Diceros bicornis minor: one gene and its partner. Each later gene encodes a partner of the first gene's protein in a complex. Links are inferred from orthologs where the notes say so. Each region holds a gene or a part of one and is shown on either strand. Other genes may lie near its edges. The genes, in order: GIPC1 and PLXND1.

Region 1 (10,134 bases):
AAGGAGGCCTATGTGGTTGGAACAGAGTGAGTCAGGGGGGCAGCAGCAGGAGGCGGGGCAGGGAGGGGCGGGGCAGAGCGAGCAGGGCCTTGTGGGAGGAGGAAGGACTTGGCTTCTGCTCTGAGTGAGGTGGGAGCCATGGAGGTTCTGAGCAGACTCACAGATGAGCGAGAGAGCAGGGCGCCAGAGGGGAGTGAGCAAGGGAGAGCGTCAGGAGGGAAGGGAACAGCAGCGACCGGCCTTCTCAACTGGAAAGAGTTAAGATGTCACTTTTAAGTCACAGGTCCAAAGTCACAGAGACAGGCTGCACCCTCAAGTATGTCTGACTCCTAAGTCCAAGGCCGTAACCACAAAGCTGTCCCCTAAGCGCCTGGGCCTCAGGTGCCTGGTCTGCAAATGGGGACATTCCACCCACCCAGCTAGGCTGTGGGGAGGATCAAACTAGGCCAAATTCTATTTTTCTGTGTCTAGGGGACTTCCTGCTCCTTCCCTTCAGATCACCTCTTCCAAGGGGCCATCCTGGATTCAGTCCAGCCCAGTGGGCTGCATCCATTCTCATGCCTCCATTCATTCATTCATTCATTCATTCATCCACCTGCTCTCCAACATCTCCAGTAACATCACCTGGTCCGGCCCCACGGTCACTCACCTAGACTAGTGCAGGCGCCTCCTCTGGGTCTCCCAGCTCCTGCCCTTGCCCCTACCGTCTCTTGTCAACACAGCAGCCAGAGGGAGCCTGTAAAACATAAGTCACGTCACATCTGTACTGTGCCCTCACTCCTCCCAAGGCTCCTACCTCACTCGGAGTAAAAGTCAATGTCCTCCCCTCAGCCCACAGGCCCCAGAAGATCTGGGCCCATCTCCTGCCTGCCCTCGTCTCCTCCCACTCTCCCCATCGCTCGCTCCCTCCAGCCACATGGGCCTCGTCCCCGTTCCTCCAACACACTAGGTCAAGTCCAGCCTCAGGGCCTTTGCACTGGCTGTGCCCCCCGGCATCCACACAACTCCGTCTCTCACCTCTTTCAGGTGGAATATATATTTCATTCATTTATCTCATTCATTGTCTGTTTTCTGAAAGGGCAGGGAACCTTGTCTGTCTTATTCATCCCTATATTCTCGGTGCAGAGAGCAGTACCTGGCACACAGCGGGTGGTCGATAAATATTTCTTGAATGAATGAATGGATGAATGACTGATCCTAATGTTCACCAGCCCACCAGTCCCTGTGCCCGGCTCTGGGGAGATAAGGGGTACAGGCTGTAGTCACTGCCCTCAAGAGGGTCCTGTCTCCCCAGCAACAGCATAAGCCCTACCTCTGGGGTCCCCCATCCTTTGCCTCCCAGCATCATTCCGTGCACAGGGAAGGTGCCTCCTGTAGCCAGGAAGACAGGGAGCGTCTCTGTCCTCTTTCATTGTGGTTTTGTTTTTCATTCCCCTCATAATCAATGATGCTGAACAACTTTTAACACATTTATTAACCGTTTGGATTTGCCCTTTTGTGAACTGCCTGTTTAAGTCTTTGCCCATTTTTAAAAAGTGCATGGTCTGTCTGTTTTTAATTGCACTGCCCATCTTTTTTTCTTATTGATTTGTGGGAACTCTTTACATGTACTGGATACTAGTGTTTCATTGGTTACCTCATCTCTCTATCCATAGCACCCAACACTGGATCTAGCACACAGTAGGCACACACCGAATATTTGACAACATTTGAATTCTGAATGAATAAACCAGTACTGCTCCCTCAAGTTATTTCATTACATTCAATGATGCTAAAAAAAAAACCTCACCATCACCTCCTCTGGTTCCCCTCCCCCCACCCCCCATATATCTTAGCAAGATGCTAAGAACATGAGTCTGGAACCTGACTTCTCCACTTACTAGCTGTGTGACCTTGGGCAAGTGTCTTAACCTCTCTGAGCTCCAAGGAAATCAGGCATGGGCCTGGAACAGTTCCTGGCACACAATAAGGGTTCATAAATATTGGTGATTATTACTACTATTTCCATCTGTACCATCTTTCAATCAGCTGCCAAAATTCAAACTTCCTCTTTTTCCCAGGGCCCACACATTCTGATCACCAAGTCCCAACCTCCATATTCTGCATCTACTTGCTGCCTGCTTCAGGCTGGCTTCTGTGTCCCCACTTGTGAGGGGGCATAACGGTGGTAAGAAAAGTGGATGATTAATGAATTTGCCCTCCAGGCCACAAGAGGCAGGGTGGCCTGGGTTGAGACCCCACCCCACTTACCAGCTGCGTGGCTGTGGGCAAGTCACTTCACTTGATGGGGCCTCAGTTTCCTCATCTGAAAAATGGGCAGAATTCCTGTCTCTCAGGGTGCATATGGGAATCCAAAAAGATTATGCATTCAACTGGATTAGCACTTTGCTTGATATTCAGTTTAAGGAAGCTGTTATCATTATTGTCATTATTATTATTGCCTCCTCTCCTGCCCTGCCCAGGAACATCCCAGTCCTCTCTGCCTGAGAAGCCCTACTCCAGGCCACCTCCTCCAGGCAGCCTCCCTGGCTTGCCCCAGCCTGTGGGAACCGCCCCTGTGGTCCCGATGGCTTAGGCCCATGAACTTAATTACAAGTTGCCCGGGCAGGACTCTTGTCTTCCAGTCTTAGGCTGTTATTTAACTTCATGTCTCTATTTTAAAACATAAACCAGATCGCGTCCCTCCCCAGCCTCAAATCTTACAATGGTTTCCCACCTGACGGAGGAAAAGCTCTGGACTCCTTGTGACCCAGAGACTTCGGCTGCATCTCCCACCCCAGGCACGCTACTCCAAGCTGGGTCCGGCCACAGAGCCTGCGCCCCAGCTGTGCCCCTGCCTGACCTGTGCAGGGCTGGCTTCTTTTTGTCATTCAGACCTCGGCCCCAAAGTCACCTCCTCTGAGAGCCCCTTTGCCCACACATTCTCCCAAGGCCCCCTCATATTTTATTCAGAGCACTCAGCACTGTCTGCGGGTACCTTTCTTATTTACTGGTTAACTGCTGTCACCTGTCCCTCCCTTCCACTACAATGGCAGCTTCCAGAGAGCAGGGATTTTTGTCCCGTTCACTGCTGTATCCTATGTGCCAAGAACAGTGCCTGGCCCATTGTAGGTGCTTAATCAACATTGTAGAAAGAATGAATGTCTTATGTCCTCATTCTGACTCCTCCCCAAACTCCTCTATCCTCAGCACACAGCAGCCTGGAGCTGCTAACCACCACGCCCTCCGATGCTCCCAGCCTCCTCTCAACCCCGCAAGCAGGGATGGAGAAAGGAGCTGCAGCCCGGCTGAGCTGGTCGGCTGGAATTCCAGCACCCCCACCCTCTCTTCTCCGGAGGGGCTGGACACTTAGTAACCCCACAGCCACAGTGAGGGCAGCAGGAGGAGGGGAGGGGGTTCCTGGGAGGTCACAGAAGCCGGAGGAGGGGGACACCATGCCCAGGCCCCCCTTTCCAGTTGGGTACTGCTTTGGAGGGGAGGGCGGGAGGCCTCTGATTCACTCTTGAAAAACCGGCTCCTGGGTGTTTCCGGGGAGAATGCCTACTGCCTGGCCTTGGCCCAGGCTTCCCAGGGGCCCAACAGGCACAGGACCCCAGCGTCCTGGCCCCCTGCCTATCTCCCCTGAAGCTGTCACTCTCTTCTCAGGACCTTCTCGGCCTTGCCTCTTCGGCTCAGGGGAGAAGGGACATGGGAGCAGCTTCCTGTTTGAGCGGCTGGTGTCTGGTCACCTCTGGGGGAGGGAATCAAAGACCAGAAGGTGTGGCCCAGATGGTGTGTGTGGTTGTGTGGGGGGAGCTGGCCAGGAACACCTGAGCCAGGGAGCCACGGGGCATCCGCTCTAGTGGTTGAGACTCCAGTTCTGGACTCTGAGGCATGGGTTCGAGTCCCAGAGCTGCCGCTTACTAGCTGTGTGCCCTTGCGCCAGCCACGCCAGCTCTCTGGGTCTGCTGCTTCACCTCTGGAAGAAGTAACAGCACCTTCCACGAGGTGTTTAGATTCAGCGGCAGGCACGGTAAATACGTGACAGGGAAATGTTGAATAAATGCTAGCCGGGCGGCTGTTTCACCATTATTATCGGGACCTCAGTCCTGCCCAGGCCCCCTCAGGCCCTGGGGCACTGGGACGCGGCCAGCTCCGGGGAGGCACCCGGGAGCGCTCCGAAACGCCGACGCCGCGCCTGTCCCCGCCGGGACGGGGACTGTCCAGAGGGACGCGGGCGGCAGGGGTGCGGCCGGAGACCGCATCCCGGCGGCGGGGGGCGTTTGCCCGCTGCCCCCAGCGGGAACGGAGGCGCCCCGCCGGAGGAGGCCTCGGGCATCCCCGCGCCCGGCCTCGACCTCCCGCCGCGTGCAAGGGCCGGCCCCACCCGCGCGACCGGCCGGGCCCCCGCGGTGCGACCCCGCGGTCCGCGCGAGGGGCCCCGAGCCGCCGCGCCGCGCTCCGCCCGCCGGACACTCACCTGCGCCGCCGCCCTGCGCGCCCCGCTCGGCCCTCCGCAAACTCCGGCCGGGCCTCTCCCGCAGCCGCGGGGGGGCGGGGCCGGCGCCCGCGCCCGGCCAATCAGGAGCGGCCGCCCGAGCTCGCGGCCAATCGGCGCCGCGCCGCGCCTCCGCGCCCGGGTGGGCCCGACGGAAGCATTCCAGAGGGATCCCCGCCCGCGCGGCCCTGCCCGCCCCCCGCGCGGCGCAGTGGACCTTCCCGCCCCGCCTAGGCCGCGGCGGGCCGTACCACCGCGCGGCGGAGGGGGAGCTGCGCCGGGCCGGCCCATCGCGGGGAGGGAAGGAGAGTACGACCAGTGGGAAGCTGGGGCCCCTGACCTCGTGCTGCCGGCTGAGCGTCCGTCTGGGGTGACTGGGGGGTGAGGGGCGAGGGACTGGCCGTGGGAGCCAGGTGACCCAGGCTGAGCCCCGGGGAGGGGATGCGAACTCCGGAAGTCCGGAAAAGCGGACCCTTTAGGAGACCAGCCCCTAATCCGGTCCTCTGCCGGGCCTGCCCCTGCCCCAGCCTGGCCATCCTCGGAGCGGACAAAAAGAGGCATTCATTCCAGGCGGGCGGGCCGGGGACGAAATGAATAGGAAGGGTCCCGAGTGTCCCAGCTTCCTGGGGTGTACAATGGACAAGGGCATTCATTCATTCATTCATTCACTCATCAAATATTTAATGTGCCCCTGCTCCGTGCCAGGCTTTGTCCTGTCTCTAGGGACACTTCAGCGAGTAAGCTGAAGATGCTCCTGGTAGAGGGAACAGTGCCTGCAAAGGCCTGGAGGCCGGATGGGGAGATCCAGCGTGCTTTAGGGTGGTGCAATATCGGAGGAGCTACCAAAGAAAGGGTGCAATGGAATGGGGGACAAGGGCGAGATGGCCTGCTCACTTGTTGGTTAGACCAGCAAATACTTACCGAGCACATGCTATGTGCTAGATTGCAAAGGGTACCCAGCTAACCCTAGCCTCCGCCCTCAGGGAGGGGACCCTTCATAAGTCTGTCTCCTCCATCTGAGTGTTCCCCCCGCCCTGGTCCTGAGACTGGCCCAGAGCCGGGTCTCAGCACAAGTGTGGATGAAAGGACCAGGTAATACCACCTCTAGGTTTGGCTTGCACCTGGGATTTCTCAGGCAGGAACACGTCCAAGAAACAAAGACACGAATGCACCTCGCCCAGGCCAGGACTCTCAGTTGCCAGGACAGGTGAGATTTCCTTGTTCTGGTTCAAAGCCAGCCACTTGGGCAGCTGGGGCTGGACCTGGAGTTCGCTGTGTGTTCTGGGATTTGTAGTTCCTGGAGGCCTCTAATTGCTGAGAACCTGCTCAAGCCTCATTGAAGGACTGGGTCTTTGTTGTCCCCAGAGTGAGCTGCTGTGCACCCCAGCCGCGCCAGGGCCTGCAAGAGTGCCACGTGAGGTGGGAAAGTGGGCCTTGGGCTGAGCTGCTGAGGGCTGCCTGGCTGGCCCCACCCAGCTGGCAAACACCGTGCCTGCCATGGCAACAGGCACAGCCATTGTCCTTCTCTTCCTGTTCTGCTGCCCTCTGCCTCCTCACTGAGCAATCAGGTGCCTGGGCTGGGCCAGAGCCCTGTGTGGGACTGCCATTGCCCTGCTTGCCCCTGATATCTGAGCTGCTCCTGCACACCTGGAGAGGGCAGCATGGGAGGCTTCAGGGCAGCAGAATCTTGAGCCTGAATCCACCTTGACTGATGAGGAAGTGCCGAGGGAGGGGTGAGGGGGTTGCCCAAGGGCACAGAGCAGTGCCAGGCACTTCCTACTCGATTTCATAGCTCAAGAGGCTGCCTAGGGGCCGGCCCGGTGGTGTAGCTGTTAAGTTCAGGCACTCCGCTTCGGCTGCCCGGGTTTCCCTGGTTCGGATCCTGGGCACAGACCTATGCACCACTCATCAGGCCATGCTGAGGCACCATCCCACATAGAAGAACTAGAAGGATGTACAACCATGACATACAACTATCTACTGGGACTTTGGGGAGAAAAAAGGGAAAAAGGAGGAAGATTGGCAACAGATGTTAGCTGAAGGCCAATCTTCCTCACACACACACACATACACACACACACAAGAGGCATGCCTGAAAACAATGGGGAAAAGGTACCTTGGAAAAGGTACCTTGGAAAAGGCAGAGTGGATGAACCTGAAGTCAGAGAACCTTAACCAGAGAATTAAAGTTGCCATCACCAGTGATGGGACAGGCTGTCCTCACGTGCCCCCGCTGTGTGTGATGTACTGAGGAGGACACAACATCCTGCCAGAAGTGTTTAACCTGAGGAGACAACCAGACACGTCCTGACTGAGGGACGTTCTGCAAAAAAAACTGACCTGGACTCTTGAAACAGATCTGTGTCGTGAAAGGCAAAATCTAGCCATTAATTTAATGAATGAATGGATAAAAGGCTGGGGAACAGTTCTAGATTGAAGGAGACAAAAGAGAGATGACAACCAAAATCAATGTATGATCCTTTTTTTTTTTTCTTTTTTTTGCGAGGAGGATCAGCCCTGAGCTAACATCCATGACAATCCTCCTCTTTTTTTGCTGAGGAAGATTGGTCCTGCGCTAACATCCATGCCTATCTTCCTCCACTGTATATGGGATGCCGCCACAGCATGGCCTGACAAGCGGCGCATCGTACGCGCCCGGGATCCGAACCCGAGAACCCGGGCCGCCAGCATTGGAGTGCGCGCACTTAACCACTAGGCTACGAGGCCTGCCCCAATGTATGATCCTTAGTTGGATCCTTGATAAAAATTTCAAAAAAAGATGAAACACTACAGAAGGATATTCTTGGGATAATTGGGGACATTTGAATGTTGAGTGGATATTAGATAATAATATATCCATGTTAAATTTCCTGAGTGTGAGGACTGTGCTGTGGTTAGGTAAGAGAGTGTTCTCATTCTTACGAGATACACAGTGCGTTATTTAGAGGTAAGTTCGTGATGCCGGCAACTGTCAAATGCTTCAGAAAAAGAAATATGTATGTATGCAACATTTTATATACACTATGATAATATGGTATACCTTAGTATTAAGATATAGGGAGATAGGGCCGGCCCCGTGGCTTAGCGGTTAGGTGCGCGCGCTCCGCTGCTGGCAGCCCGGGTTCAGATCCCGGGCGTGCACCGACGCACCGCTTCTCCTGCCATGCTGAGGCCGCGTCCCACGTACAGCAACTAGAAGGATGTGCAGCTATGACATACAACTATCTACTGGGGCTTTGGGGGGGAAAAATAAATAAATAAAATCTTTAAAAAAAAAAAAGATATAGGGAGAGAGAGAGAGAGAGAGAAAAAAATGAATGTGGCAAAATAGTAACAATTGCGGCTGAATCCAGGAGGGTGGTATATGGGTATTCATTTCAGTATTCTTGTAAGTTTCCTATAGCTTTGAAAATTTCAAAATAAACATTGGAAAGAAGTACCCCCATTTCCCTCCCATCCCCAGAGGCTGCCATCCAGTGGCTTTAATATGCACTGTTTTGTTTGTGTCTTTCCTTGAAAATGTGCATGTTCTGTTATATTTGGCTTCTTACTTTTTTTCCACTCAGTACTGTATTGCTTGTTTAGTTGTTTGCTTGTTTTCCACTAGGCCTTGAAGATCCCTCTGTATTGCTAATCTCTTGAATCTGTTTTCTTCTAACTGTGGCTTGGTGCTCCATGGAACTCCATGGAATGCATCCCTCACATCTTAGTCCTCTGTCCTCCAGGGATGGACACCAGGCAGCCTCCAGCTCCCCACGCCACAGTGAACAGCCATGGACCTGCCCCCTCAGGGACCTGGTGAGACTCTCCACAGGAGAGAGACCTGAATGCAGAGATGCTGGGGCACAGGGCACAGACCATTGCTCTGTGGTCCCCCAGGCTAGCTGCCCTTGTCACACCCACTGGCAGTGCAGGAGGGTGCCATGTCCCCACATCTCTGCCAGCCATTCTAAATTTTGCCACTCTGACTCACTGTCAAGTGATGTCCCCATTGCTTTATTTTACATTTCTCTGATTTCTGATCACTTGGAGCATCTCCTCATTTCCTTGACGGCCTTTGGATTCTCCTCTTCTGTAAATTGCCCGTTCATACTCTATCCATTTTGCAGTGGGGGTAGCTGTGTTTTTCTTGTTGATGTGCACGTGTTCCTCACAGAGTCTAGATCTTACTGTCCAGTCTGATCTAACACAAACTCTCCCCTCTCCACACGTGGTTACGGAGCACTTGAAATGGGGCTAATACAAACTGAGATGTGCCGTAAGTGTAGAGTACACACTGGATTCTAAGGCTTATTAGAAAGAAGAGGACGTAAAATATCACATCTCATTAATTCTTTTTTATACTGATTATATATCGTAATAATGATAATGTGGATGTATTGGGCTAAAGTGTATTATTCAAATTAATTTCACTTGTTTCTTTTTACTATTTGAATGCGCTCCTAGAAAATTTACAACTTGGTATGAGCTTGCATATTCTACTGGATAGCGCCGGGATACTGGGCCCTGGCCAGTTTCAATAATGACAGAGCTTCCCACGAGCCAGACGCTGTTGTAAGAAATTTATATTTACTAAACCGTTTAACCCTCCTAATGACCCTGTGAGGTGGGCACAGTATTAGACATTGCAAACATATTCCCCCACCGTTATGTGACGATTTGCTTCACCCGTGATATCCTTCAATGGGAGGAAATTCTTAACTTCAATATAATTGAACTTATCCATTTTGTCATTTGCACCCGTGACATTTCATTAAGGAGGCCTTTTCCACCCTTAGATCACAACGTTTTTCTTCTATTCATTCCCTGGTTTTACTTTTCCTGCATCCTCATTCCCTCCCTAGGCCCCCTCGGGGTGTAGGGTAGGACGGTCACATCTCTCCGTAACCTGCGCTGCTCACAGCGCACCCTGGGCCCCCATGTGCCTTAACCTCCTCGTCTATAAAGCAGTGATCAGAATGGGACCCCCCTCCTAAAGTGATTATGATTGTCAAACACCTACAGTGGTGCTGGGCAGATAGTGAGTGCTCAGTGAACAACAGCTGGTATTATTAAACTGTGTTGAGGGCACAGAGATGAATAAACACAGTCTTTCCAAATAGAAACATTATAAAAATAGACCCCTTTATTAAGCCCTTACTGTTCCAGGCCCTGTGCTGGCTGCTCTTTAGGATTAATCCCACTGGCTATCGCCCCCATTCTAGAGAGGAGGAGACAGGCTCAGAGAAGGGGAGCCACTGCCTCAAAGTTGCACAGCAACTCATGGCTGTGGCACTTGAGCTCCAACCCCAGCACACGTGACGTCCCTCTGGAGGTATGGGTTGCACTGTCCTCAACTTGAGGCCTGGCCCTGAGATGTGGGGGACAGGGCGGATCGAGGAGGGAAAGTGCCGAGGGACATCATCCGGGCCACAGTGCTCTTGGAGTTTGATTGCCTGGCTTTTTGTGGTCGGGCTGCTTGTATTAGCCTGGCAGGACTGCACTCTGCGGGGAGGGCCTGGAGGGGATGCAGGGCAGGTGGCCCTGACGGGGCTGGCTCCTGTGGCCCCAGGTTTCTGCCCCAGTGCGGGCGCCCTCTGAGGCTGAATTTTAGGAAGTCGTGATAAAACCCTGCAGCAGTGCTGTTTTCTGGAGGGCCGACGGGCGGCTCTCCTTTC
Region 2 (9,881 bases), on another chromosome or scaffold:
CGCTGTGCCCAGCGCCCACCACAGGGCCTGGCATACAGTAGGTGCTCAAGAAATATTTGCAGATGAATGAGTGAATCTTTGGTCTGGAAGATGGACCAGCCTCCCAACTACTCTCCCTGCCTCTCGTCTCTCCTCTCACCAGCCACCTATGGACTTTCTAAAATACTCATATTAAAAATAATCATAGTAATTGCAAACACGTGTGCCGGGCTGTCTACTAAGAGCTTTCTATGTATCATCTCATTTAATCCCCACAACAGTCCTGTGAAGTAGGTACTTTTATTATCATTCCCATTCTACAGAGGGGGAAACTGAGGTGCTCATACAGATCACATCACTCCTCTGGCTAAAACCTTTCATGGCTCCCCATGGCCCCAGAATACAGTCTGGACTCCACAAGGTGGCCTGTCAGCACCCCTCCCAGCACCTGCACCCACAGGCCCCGCCCACGCCCTGCCCCCAGCCACCATGATCACCTTTCAGGTGCTCTAGCCTGCCTTGCTGTTTCCTACCTCCAGGCCTTTGCCCAGGCTGTTCCCTCAGCCTGGACCCTTTCTTCTCCTCTTGCTGGCCTCCTGCTCCTCAACCCACCTCCGCTTTGACATCACTTTCCCCAGAAGCCTTGATGCCCTCCCCAGCCCCTCTGCCCAAGTTCCCCCATCACAGCCCTCATGCCCCTGGGCTGTAAGGGCCTGGCCACATGTCTGTCTTTGCTTGCCTGCTGGGTCCATGAGAGCAGACACTAAGTGAGCACGGGGCTGGGCACACGGCAGGGGCCTGGGAAATGTAGACCAAGGTTTCCATCTGGGGCCAGAGGTGGGAGATGGTGGGGTCTTCACTGCTGCACAACAAGCCAAAATAGGTCAGTGCTGTCCAGACCAAGCCCAGACCTGCGCTAATAATGCCCTCTGGGGCAATAATAACAACAATCACAGACATCTGCCAGGTGCTTACTGTGTACCAGGTATGACGTGCTTTCTATCAATGAGTTCACTTAGTTCTTAAAACAATCCTTAGAGATGTGTTTTTATTGTCCTCACTTTACAGATGAAGAAACTGAGGCTCAGAGAGGTTAAATCACTTGCCAAGGTCACACAGCTGGGAAGTGACAGAGTAGAATTCCAACCCAGGTTCTTAGCCTATAACTGGGGAGTTGGCAACAGCCTGGCCCAAGAATAACTATCACCCTCCCCACCCCCGCCCACGGCTGTGCTAGAGGACCAGACCCTGGGGCCTTGGACACACCTAGGAGGTACTGCCCAGCAGCACTGGCCTGTGCCCACAGCTGGGCATGGGGAAGGGGAGAGGAGTGTGGAGGATACAGGGAGAGTGGCCAAGGAGGGCCGGGAATCCGCCTTGCCTTGGGGTGAGGAGGAGGCCCTCAGCCACTCTGTCCCTGGGGCCCTGTCCCTGGAGAGGCCCTGCCCCCTCAGGAGAGGGAAGCCCCAGCCCCCTCCAGCAGAATGAGTCACTGCTCCAGGCCAGGCTGGGGACGAGGGACCGTGGGAACCAGGACGGTTCCTGCCAGAGGGGGAGGCAGAGACTGCTGCGGCTGGAGGAATCCCACAGATCAACTCACACTCAGGGCTTGGATGGACATGCCTGGGCGCTGGCCCAACCTTGACCCCGGCCCAGACAGGGTCTTCCCTTCACAGGGCGGGGGTGACTCCCACTCACCTCCTCCGACTTGGAGAATCCCACAAACAAAGCTTGTCCCCTCAAACACAGCCTGTTGGGGGATATAGCCCCGGGGAGGGGAACGGTGGTGGATGTTGCAGCCGTGGCGCTGGGCAGCTGGCCCTGAGCCGGTCGGCCCCTGCGGGTGGCAGCGCCGCTCCCTGGGACAGTCTGCCCCGCTCACCAACAGCGCCCTTTATTTTCAGGGCGGCCAGCCAGCCCAGTGGTGGGCAGCCGCGGGAGCCCGACGGCAGGAGAGGAATCTGCGTTTCTGAAAGCCCCCGTGTCGGACACACCCACAGGGGAATAATTAATCTCATGAGATTTTTGCCCCAGCCTGAGGACCACTCAGAAGGGATGGGGCAGAGCCACGGGGGGCCTGGCCCCAAGGAGGGCTCTGTAACCACAGGAGAAGGCTGAGTTCAGCATTTTCCTGAGGGAGAAACTGAGGCTTCCTAGGGGAGTGACAAAGCCTGGGGTTGAAATGGACTGCCCAGACTCAGAGCGGGATGGCAAGTGTGGAAAAGGCACAGGGTCCCACCTCCAGGGCCCCCTGAAGAAGTGACCCCTTGCTGGTGGGCTTCCTTGAGGGAACTGCACAAAGTTCCCCCTGCACCACTGTGTCACGTTCCACCCAGGTCAACACACCCACTGATCCCAACCTGGCCCCTTCGCCACTGCCCAACCCAGCCCCAGACACCTGCCCCCATTCCCACCGAGCTGGGGTGCCCACATACCTGGCCCCTCTTTATTCCCTCCTGAGCCCCATGGCCCTCTCCTGCCTCCTGCACACCCCGATCTGCACACAGTCCTGTTCACCTCCCTCCACTCTCCTGGCCCCGGCACCTCCCCACCCCTTCTCCCTGGACTCCAACACAAACACACACACACACACTGAGCCCCATGTCTGTAAGGCAGCAAAGGCTCAGCAGCATTAAGAACACAGATACGGAAGCCAGACAGCCTGGATTCAAATTCCGCCTCTGTTAGTTCCCAGCTGGGTGATCTTCAGCAAGTTACTTAACCTCTCTGTGCCTCAGTTTCTTCATCTGTAAAACGGGGATAAGAACAGAGCCCACCTCAGAGAGTTGTTGTGAAAACCAAGAGAGTTACGCCACATAACACGCTTAGCAGGCATTCCACAAGCGTTACTATCTACCCCATAGCCTCCATGCTTGGTCTATGCCAGGTGTTCAGTAAATATGGGTTGAAGGAGTGAATTAAAGTTGGCCTCAAGAACACCAGCGCCCTCCCCAGAGTACATACTGGTTCCCAAACACCTGTGTCCCCTGCCACACACGTCCCACTGGGCACCCAGGCCTGCCCTGTTGCACCAGTGTCCCTGCAGCACAGGCTTCCTGCCCTACACTCCTGCACGACCCAGCTCGGGGACACAAAAGTCTGGTGCACACACCCCTGTCACTCCCACCTTGCTGCCCCCCCACATCTGCTGGGCCCTGGTCCACACTTGCATGCCTCCCCACCAGGCCCGTGCATACATCTGCCAACTCCCAATGGCAGCCCTGAGAGGCTCGCACAGCCGGCCCAGCACGCCTTCGGTCAGACAGTGCACTCACTGCTATGCGCTCCGCCCGGACCTAGGACCCCCACACGCACACCTGGGCTGTGTAGGCACCTCGGTCTCTCTTCAGCGCGCACCTGGGTACCCATCCGAAGCCCGGACCGCCCCCCACCCCCGCACACTCAGGTATGCACACCTGTAATCCCGCACTCACTTGAGTGCCCGCATGCGCACATCTGGGCCATATTCACGCCAGTGCCCCCACCTCGGCTGACACCTGTATCCTCGCGAGCACACCTGATCCCCGAATATGCATTTGTGGCCCGGAGTACACAACTGGATCCCCACACACGCACATCTGGGTACCGGCACGCTCACACCTGTGACCGGCACGGCGCACAACCCGCCCAGTTATCGGCACGCTCTCCCCCGAGCCCCCTGTGCTGGTCCCCCGCGCCCCCGCTGCCTAGGTGTACCTGGATGTTCCGCTTGCGCTCGCAGGCTGGCCCGGTGCCCTGCACCACGCTGTCGAGCACAGCCACCACGTCGGGTGCGGGTTCAACGAAGCAGGCGGTGCGTGCAGCGCGGATGGCTGCTTGCACGTCGGCGAAGCGGAAGGCGCAGAGAGCCGCCGGGGCCGCGCGGGCCGCCGGGGGTCCCTGGGGCCGCTCGAAGACCGCAAAGAGCAGCTCGCGCGCGGGGAAGACGGACACCAGGCGGCTGTAGAGGTCGCCGCGGCCCGCGCCGCCCGCGCACTGCAAGCCCAGCTGGATGTAGGACTCGGTGAGCTTCTTGGCGTCGCCGCCGGCGCCGCGGGGCAGGCAGATGCGCGCCAGCAGGCTCCGCGCCTGGCTCTCCTTGTCGCCCGCGCGCGCCTCGCTGTTGAGCGCCAGGTACGCGTAGGACGGGGCGCCCGGCGGAGGGTCAGGCGGATGCAGGAAGGCGCGCACGAAGCCCAGCTTGTGCTGCTCCTTGGCACCCTGCTTGATCTTGAGAATGTTGTCGTCGGAGGGGTTGAGGTCGAAGGTGAAGAGCTTGGCCAAGTCGCCGCGCGCATCCAGGGAGCGGATGGCGATCTCGGGCGTGTTCTCGAAGCGGTGGTCCTCCAGGCTGCGGTTGCGCGGGAAGAAGGCGCTGCCGTAGCCGGTGTACGTGGCGCCCACGAGCAGGCGGCTGCCCCCCGTGCCGGCGGCCGGCGGCAGCACCAGCCCCACGGTGGACGCGTTCGGGTGGTTGGCCGCCACGTTCAGCATGCTGGGGAACACAGTGACGGGCTCGGCGGGCGGCGCGGCGGGCGGGAAGCGCACGGCCACGGCCGAGATGTTGCCCCGGCGCCGCAGCTGGCAGAAGCCCTGGTAGATGGAGCCGCACACGACCACCAGGCCCTGGCCGGGGTCCAGCTGCAGGATCTTGTTGTAGTTGTCGGTGAGGCGCCGCGGGTGCTCGCACGAGGCCTGCGGCAGCTGCGGGGCGTGACACAGCGGGCTGTCGGCCACCGGGCCCACGGCCGCCTCGACCTCCAGGCTCAGGTTGGCGCCCGACAGCTGGTAGAGGCGGTTGACGGCCGCCAGGTACACCGTCCCCGCCGCGCCGTCCAGGGCGAAGTTGTTGGTGGGCGTGGGCGAGGGGAACCGGCGCTGGATCTCCAGGGCGCCGGCCCACGCCGCCCCGAGGAGCAGCAGCAGCAGCAGCAGCGGCGGCGGGCACGGCGGCCGGCCCCGCGGCCCCGGAGGGGCGCGGAACGGCGGGCGCGGCGGCGGGGCGCTGGCCGCGGCGGCCCGGGCGCTAAGGGGTGCGCCGCCCGCGGCGCGACGAGCCATCCGGGCGTGCGCGGGCTGCGCGGCGCGGCGAGTGCATGGGGCGCGGCGCGGCCGGGCGCCGGGAGCCGGGAGGCGGCAGGAGGCGGGGGGCGGGCCCGGGCCGCGAGGCGCTTCCTGCCCGCGCCAGCCGCCCCCGGCCCCGGCGCCCGGGCCCGGCTCAGCCGCGCGGCGCAGCCCGGGGGCGGGGCGGGGGCGGCTCCGCTGCGGACACGCCCTCGCTCCCCGCCCCCGGCGCGCCCCGCCCGGCCGCGCCCCGCCCCCGGGCCCCTCCCGCCCCGCGCCCCCGCCCCGGGCAGCCCGCCCGCGCTCTGGCTGCCGGGCCCGCGCTCGACTGTCGGGGGGTCGGGCCGCCCCGCGCCCTCCGCGACCCGCCCGCGCGGCGCCCGTGGCCCGAGGCTCCCTCTCCCGGCCCTGCCTCCGCCTCCGTCGCCCGCTCCTCTTGCGCCTTCCTTCCTTTTGGCCGCTGGGCCTGTCTCGCTCTGGTTTGTTCTCTCGTTTCCTTCCTCTCTTTCTCCCCGCGGTCCCTGTCTCTCTCCCTCTCCGTGTGTGTCCCTCTCAGTGTCTCCCCGTCTCTCTCTAACCCCCCAACTCCGTGCGTGCTGTCTCTCTCCTTTTCTGCCTCTGCTTCTCCTTCTCTCTCGCTCTCCCGTCCCTGTCACCCGCCTCCCTCCTTTATCCCCTGCCTCATTCTCCCTCTCCCCTCTCTGCTCTTCTGTCCCTGGCTTTCTCCTTCTCTCCGTGGCTCCCTCTGCTTCCTCCCCTCTGGACCGTCTGCCTCTCTCCCCATCCCTCTGGCCCCTCTCCCCTCCATCTCTGTCTACCCTCTTCTCTCCTCTGCCTTCCTCATCCTCGGCCCTCCCTGACCCTCCCCGTCTCACACTCAGGGTCTCTCCCCTTCCACTCCCTTTCGCGGGCCGCTGTCCAGGCCTTAGACCCCAGGGTCAGGGCACGCCCAGGGCCAGCCAGGCCGGGGTCACCACCTCTTCAGACCCCATGATCTGTTCCCCAAACTCCATCCCCATAAGAGAGGTTTTACAAGTGGCAGAGACTGAGGGACCAATTCAAGGGTCAGACGCATAAACCAGGAAAACAGGGAAAGAGGAGCGATTTGAGGCCTGTGCCAGGCCAGGGAGCAGGCCGGGTGGGTCAGCGACATCCAGAGTGAGGCCTTGGTCCTGGCGGCGAGTGGCCCCTGGAGGCCCACAGTTGCCTCCTGTGGAGACCCAGCCCTGTGGGCCGCTGCCCTTCACCCCCCCAACCTCACCGGGCACTACCTCTCTATTCAGGCTCTGGAAGGACTGAAAATCCTCCCAGATTTAGTGGAAGGAAGATCAGCCACATGTGAGCCGCCACTGGGCCCGCTTCTCCTTTCGCCTGGAAGGAGAAAGTAGGCGCTGGGGTCGGAGTCAGACAGTGATGACTCCAAGGTCACAGAGCCTGTATGGTGAGCGTCCACAGTCTGTGGCATGGGGAGTGTTCAAACATGGCCTGACCCGCACCGGCCACTGTGCTGAGCACCTTATATGTATTGACTCACTTCGTCCTCACAGCTACTCTCTGAGGCTGGTCCTATTATGCCATCTTCCACATTCAGAACCCGGGGCCCCAGAGGTGAAGGTACCAGGCCCACTTGCACAGCTGCTAAGGAGCAGAGCTACAATGATTGAAACTCCCAAACCTCCCCCAACCCCAGGCCAGGTCTGGCATCTCAGAACGGGGGGCTCCCATCAGACCCCCAACTGCCACATGGGGCCCCATGGCCCTTGCTCTGAGGCCTGACCTCACTAGTTCCCACCTGGCCAGGAAGGAAGGACAGGAGGTTTCTCTGTTCCCCACAGGGTAGGCAGGAAGGGCCAGGCCTACAGCTGTCCCCTACTTCCCTCACCCCAACACCCTCGCCTTCCTGCCATCAGCATTTGCCTGCCTTTTTCCAACCCCCTCCATCCCCGGTCTGGCCACTGCTTTGACGGCCAGCAGTGTTCAACTGCAGTAAATCGGAGGCTCTGCCCTTCTTCCCCCGGTGGGGGGGATCAAGGCCACTCAGGGGACAGCACCTCCATCTCTGGGTGGGGAGGGTTCATGTTGTGCCACCAGTGGGAGCAACTGGGGAACCTGGCAGAGGGGCAGGAGGCTGCCCTAATGTCTCTCCCCCCACCCCTTCTCACAGCCGTCCCCATCAGTCCATCTGTCTGTCTCTCTCCGGGTCTTATCTTTCTCTAGCCTTCCCCACCCCATCTCTGTTTTCGTCTGTCTTTTTGCTCCTCCCGCTTTCTCTCTCTGTCTCTCTCTCTCCCCCAGTCTCTTCCCACCTCCCTCTCTTTCCACTCTCTGTCTCTTTGTATGTGTCTCTCCTACCTCTCTGTGTCTCTGTCTCTCTCCTTATCCCCCACCCCTCTCTCCCTCCCTCGCCCCTCCTAGCTTCCTTCCTGTCTCCGGGCTCATCTTGCCACATCCTGCAGCTCCCCCCACTGAGCTTTGACGATAATGCTCTGCGTCCTCACAGCTCAGCCTGGCGCACAGTGGGTGGTTCCGGCACTTTGGACACACTACCTGCCAAGCTGAGTGCTGGACTCAGGAGCTGCCCGGCCTGGGGCTATGCAGGGCTAGGTTAGACTGCAGAGGGCACGGCCAGGGTCCAAGTGTCCTGGCATAAGCTGGAGGTGGAAGTGCTGTGTGGCCTAGGGCAAGGCACTTGCCTTCTCTGAGCCTCAGTTTCCTCGTCTGTAGAACAAGGTCAATCATAATAGCACACTGGCCCCTGGGAGGTTGTGAGACTTGAAGAACATAACGTACCAGAAAGCACGGTGCCAGACACATGGCAGGCACTGGGCAAAGGCAGTTTCTCTCCCCTTACATTGAGCAATGGCCCACCAGGGCCCCACTTCCTGTCATGAGTGCTCGCGGTGGCTAGCAAAGCCGCCATCCACCAAGGGCTAAGGGCTGCATCCAGCACTGCCCTGCACAGCCTCATGCCATCTTCACAGCTAGCTGACAAGGCAGGATCATTGGACCCGTTTCACAGATGGAGAAACTGAGGGGCATTAGCAAGGTGAGGATGTGAACCCAGTCTGTCTTCAGATCCTGTGCTTCCTCCCCTGCACCCGTTAGCTGGGAGCTCCTTCAGGCCAGGACAGGTCTGGGGGCAGCTATGCTATACCCCTGGCTGGGCAGAAGAGGTGCCGGTAACTATTGGCTGAAGGAAGGAAGAAAGGAATGAATGAACTCACATCTTCCCTGGCCTGCTAAGATGCTGTGAGTGTCCTCCCAGAAGGGATTTTAGAGGGAACCTAAGGGGAGATTGATGGCACCCAGCAGAGGGTGGTTAGGTGGCACCCAGAATTAACTAACTCTGAATTAACTCACCCAGATTAACCAACCCTGGATTAACTATCAGCTCACCCTGTGATTCGGGCCCTTCTCATTTTTGTTCAAATCTTCTGATTAGATGGAGGAGAAGGTCTCCGTTTTGGGGTTTGTGTGTCTTTATCGCCTCTGTAACATTTGTCACTGTCCTTTTTTGTTTTTTTTTTGGAATTTTATTTATTTATTTTTCCCCCAAAGCCCCAGTAGATAGTTGTACGTCATAGCTGCACATCCTTCTAGTTGCTGTATGTGGGACGCGGCCTCAGCACGGCCAGAGAAGTGGTGCGTTGGTGCGTGCCCGGATCCAAACCTGGGCCGCCAGCAGCGGAGCGTGCGCACCTAACTGCTAAGCCACGGGGCCGGCCCCTGTCACTGTCCATTTTTAATAGCAAGAGGGTCTCAAGCTTGGTGCTGTTGACATGGGCATTCTAGAATGTACTTATAGTTCTTTGTTTTCTTTATAATATTTGCAGTTATTTCCTCGTTTAGGCAAGTGATACTGGGTTTCCAAGTACGATAATGATGAAAAGCTTGCTTGATAAATGCATTTATTGAAGTTTTTAAAACATGAGTTAATTTAAAGACAAAGATGAAGTAGGTCATAATCCAGGTGATGCAAAATGCCGGAAACCTGGGACATGTCAGCCTAACGTAGTGCCTTTGTCGATGAGGACGCGGCAGTCCAGATGGGGCAGCTCCGTGCCTGGGAACCAGTGGTCAGTGGCCAGGCTGGCCCAGCGAAGGCAAGCCCGGGCCTTCCACCACTGCCGGGGCGGGGCCCCCTCCTGCCCTGGTCATCTCCAGCCATCTGGCTACCCAGGGCAGAGCCGTGAGGAGGAGGAAATGTTTGCCTTCTTCAGTTGGAAAAAATAACAGTGGGGCCTGGGCTGTGCTGGGAGGAGGGGGCTCCTGCCTCCCTTCCCTTGGGCCTGGCCTCAGAGAACGCTTCCCCTGCAGGCAACGCTCCTGACACGATGACCGCCCCAAGTGCAACCTTGGTGACAGGAAGGTGCTGGAAACAGAATCCTCCGAGGCAGCCCAGCACGCCCAGCGTGGGCCTGGATGGTGCCAGGAGCCATCACTGTGGCTTCTCGGGGGCTTCACCCATCTGGTTTCTGCCTGGGAGCCACTCTGAGAGGTGGGTCTTATCATCCCCGTTTCACAGATGGGGACACTGAGGGTGGGGGAGTGCCACCACTTGCCTACAGCTGCACAGCTCACCAGCCTCCACAGCCTGCTCTTGGCCACTGCGTCCCAGGCCCAGCTCTGCCCCTCACCACCTGTGTGGCCTTGGTGGCACCAGCCCTCTTCGAGCCTCAGTTTCCCTATCTGGAAAAGGGGAGCGTAAACTCACAGCTGCGGTCAGGATGGAAGACATCTGCGTGTCAGGGTGCCGGGCATGTCAGGCAGTGTGGCTTCCCTGACCTTCCAGCTCTGAAACACGGGTCCTGCCCCCAGACTGCTCAAATCCACCATCTGTACCCACTCAGGAGAGCCCC

What was found.
Region 2: the proteins of GIPC1 (region 1) and PLXND1 are in contact, whole or in part, in a crystal structure (PDB 5V6T), measured with the Mus musculus proteins. The link is inferred for Diceros bicornis minor from reciprocal best matches to the Homo sapiens genes GIPC1 and PLXND1. Residues at the interface, in NP_061241.1 of Mus musculus: His61, Glu141, Ala142, Leu143, Gly144, Leu145, Thr146, Ile147, Thr148, Asp149, Asn150, Gly151, Phe156, Lys158, Arg159, Arg190, His191, Tyr192, Glu193, Ala195, Arg196, Leu198, Lys199; in NP_080652.2 of Mus musculus: Glu1400, Met1889, Glu1893, Arg1899, Gln1902, Gln1904, His1905, Glu1908, Ile1918, Tyr1919, Cys1921, Tyr1922, Ser1923, Glu1924, Ala1925.

The regions. Positions count from the first base shown.
Region 1 is NC_080769.1:3,390,150-3,400,283, reverse strand, and holds the start of GIPC1 (PDZ domain-containing protein GIPC1), read right to left. Parts: upstream 4,510-10,134; 5' UTR 4,460-4,509; intron 2,306-4,459; 5' UTR 2,251-2,305; intron 1,235-2,250; exon of another isoform or gene 1,018-1,234; intron 737-1,017; 5' UTR 650-736; intron 1-649. UniProt on the Homo sapiens protein: May be involved in G protein-linked signaling.
Region 2 is NC_080741.1:87,712,485-87,722,365, reverse strand, and holds the start of PLXND1 (plexin-D1), read right to left. Parts: upstream 5,066-9,881; 5' UTR 5,020-5,065; coding exon 3,676-5,019; intron 1-3,675. UniProt on the Homo sapiens protein: Cell surface receptor for SEMA4A and for class 3 semaphorins, such as SEMA3A, SEMA3C and SEMA3E. Plays an important role in cell-cell signaling, and in regulating the migration of a wide spectrum of cell types.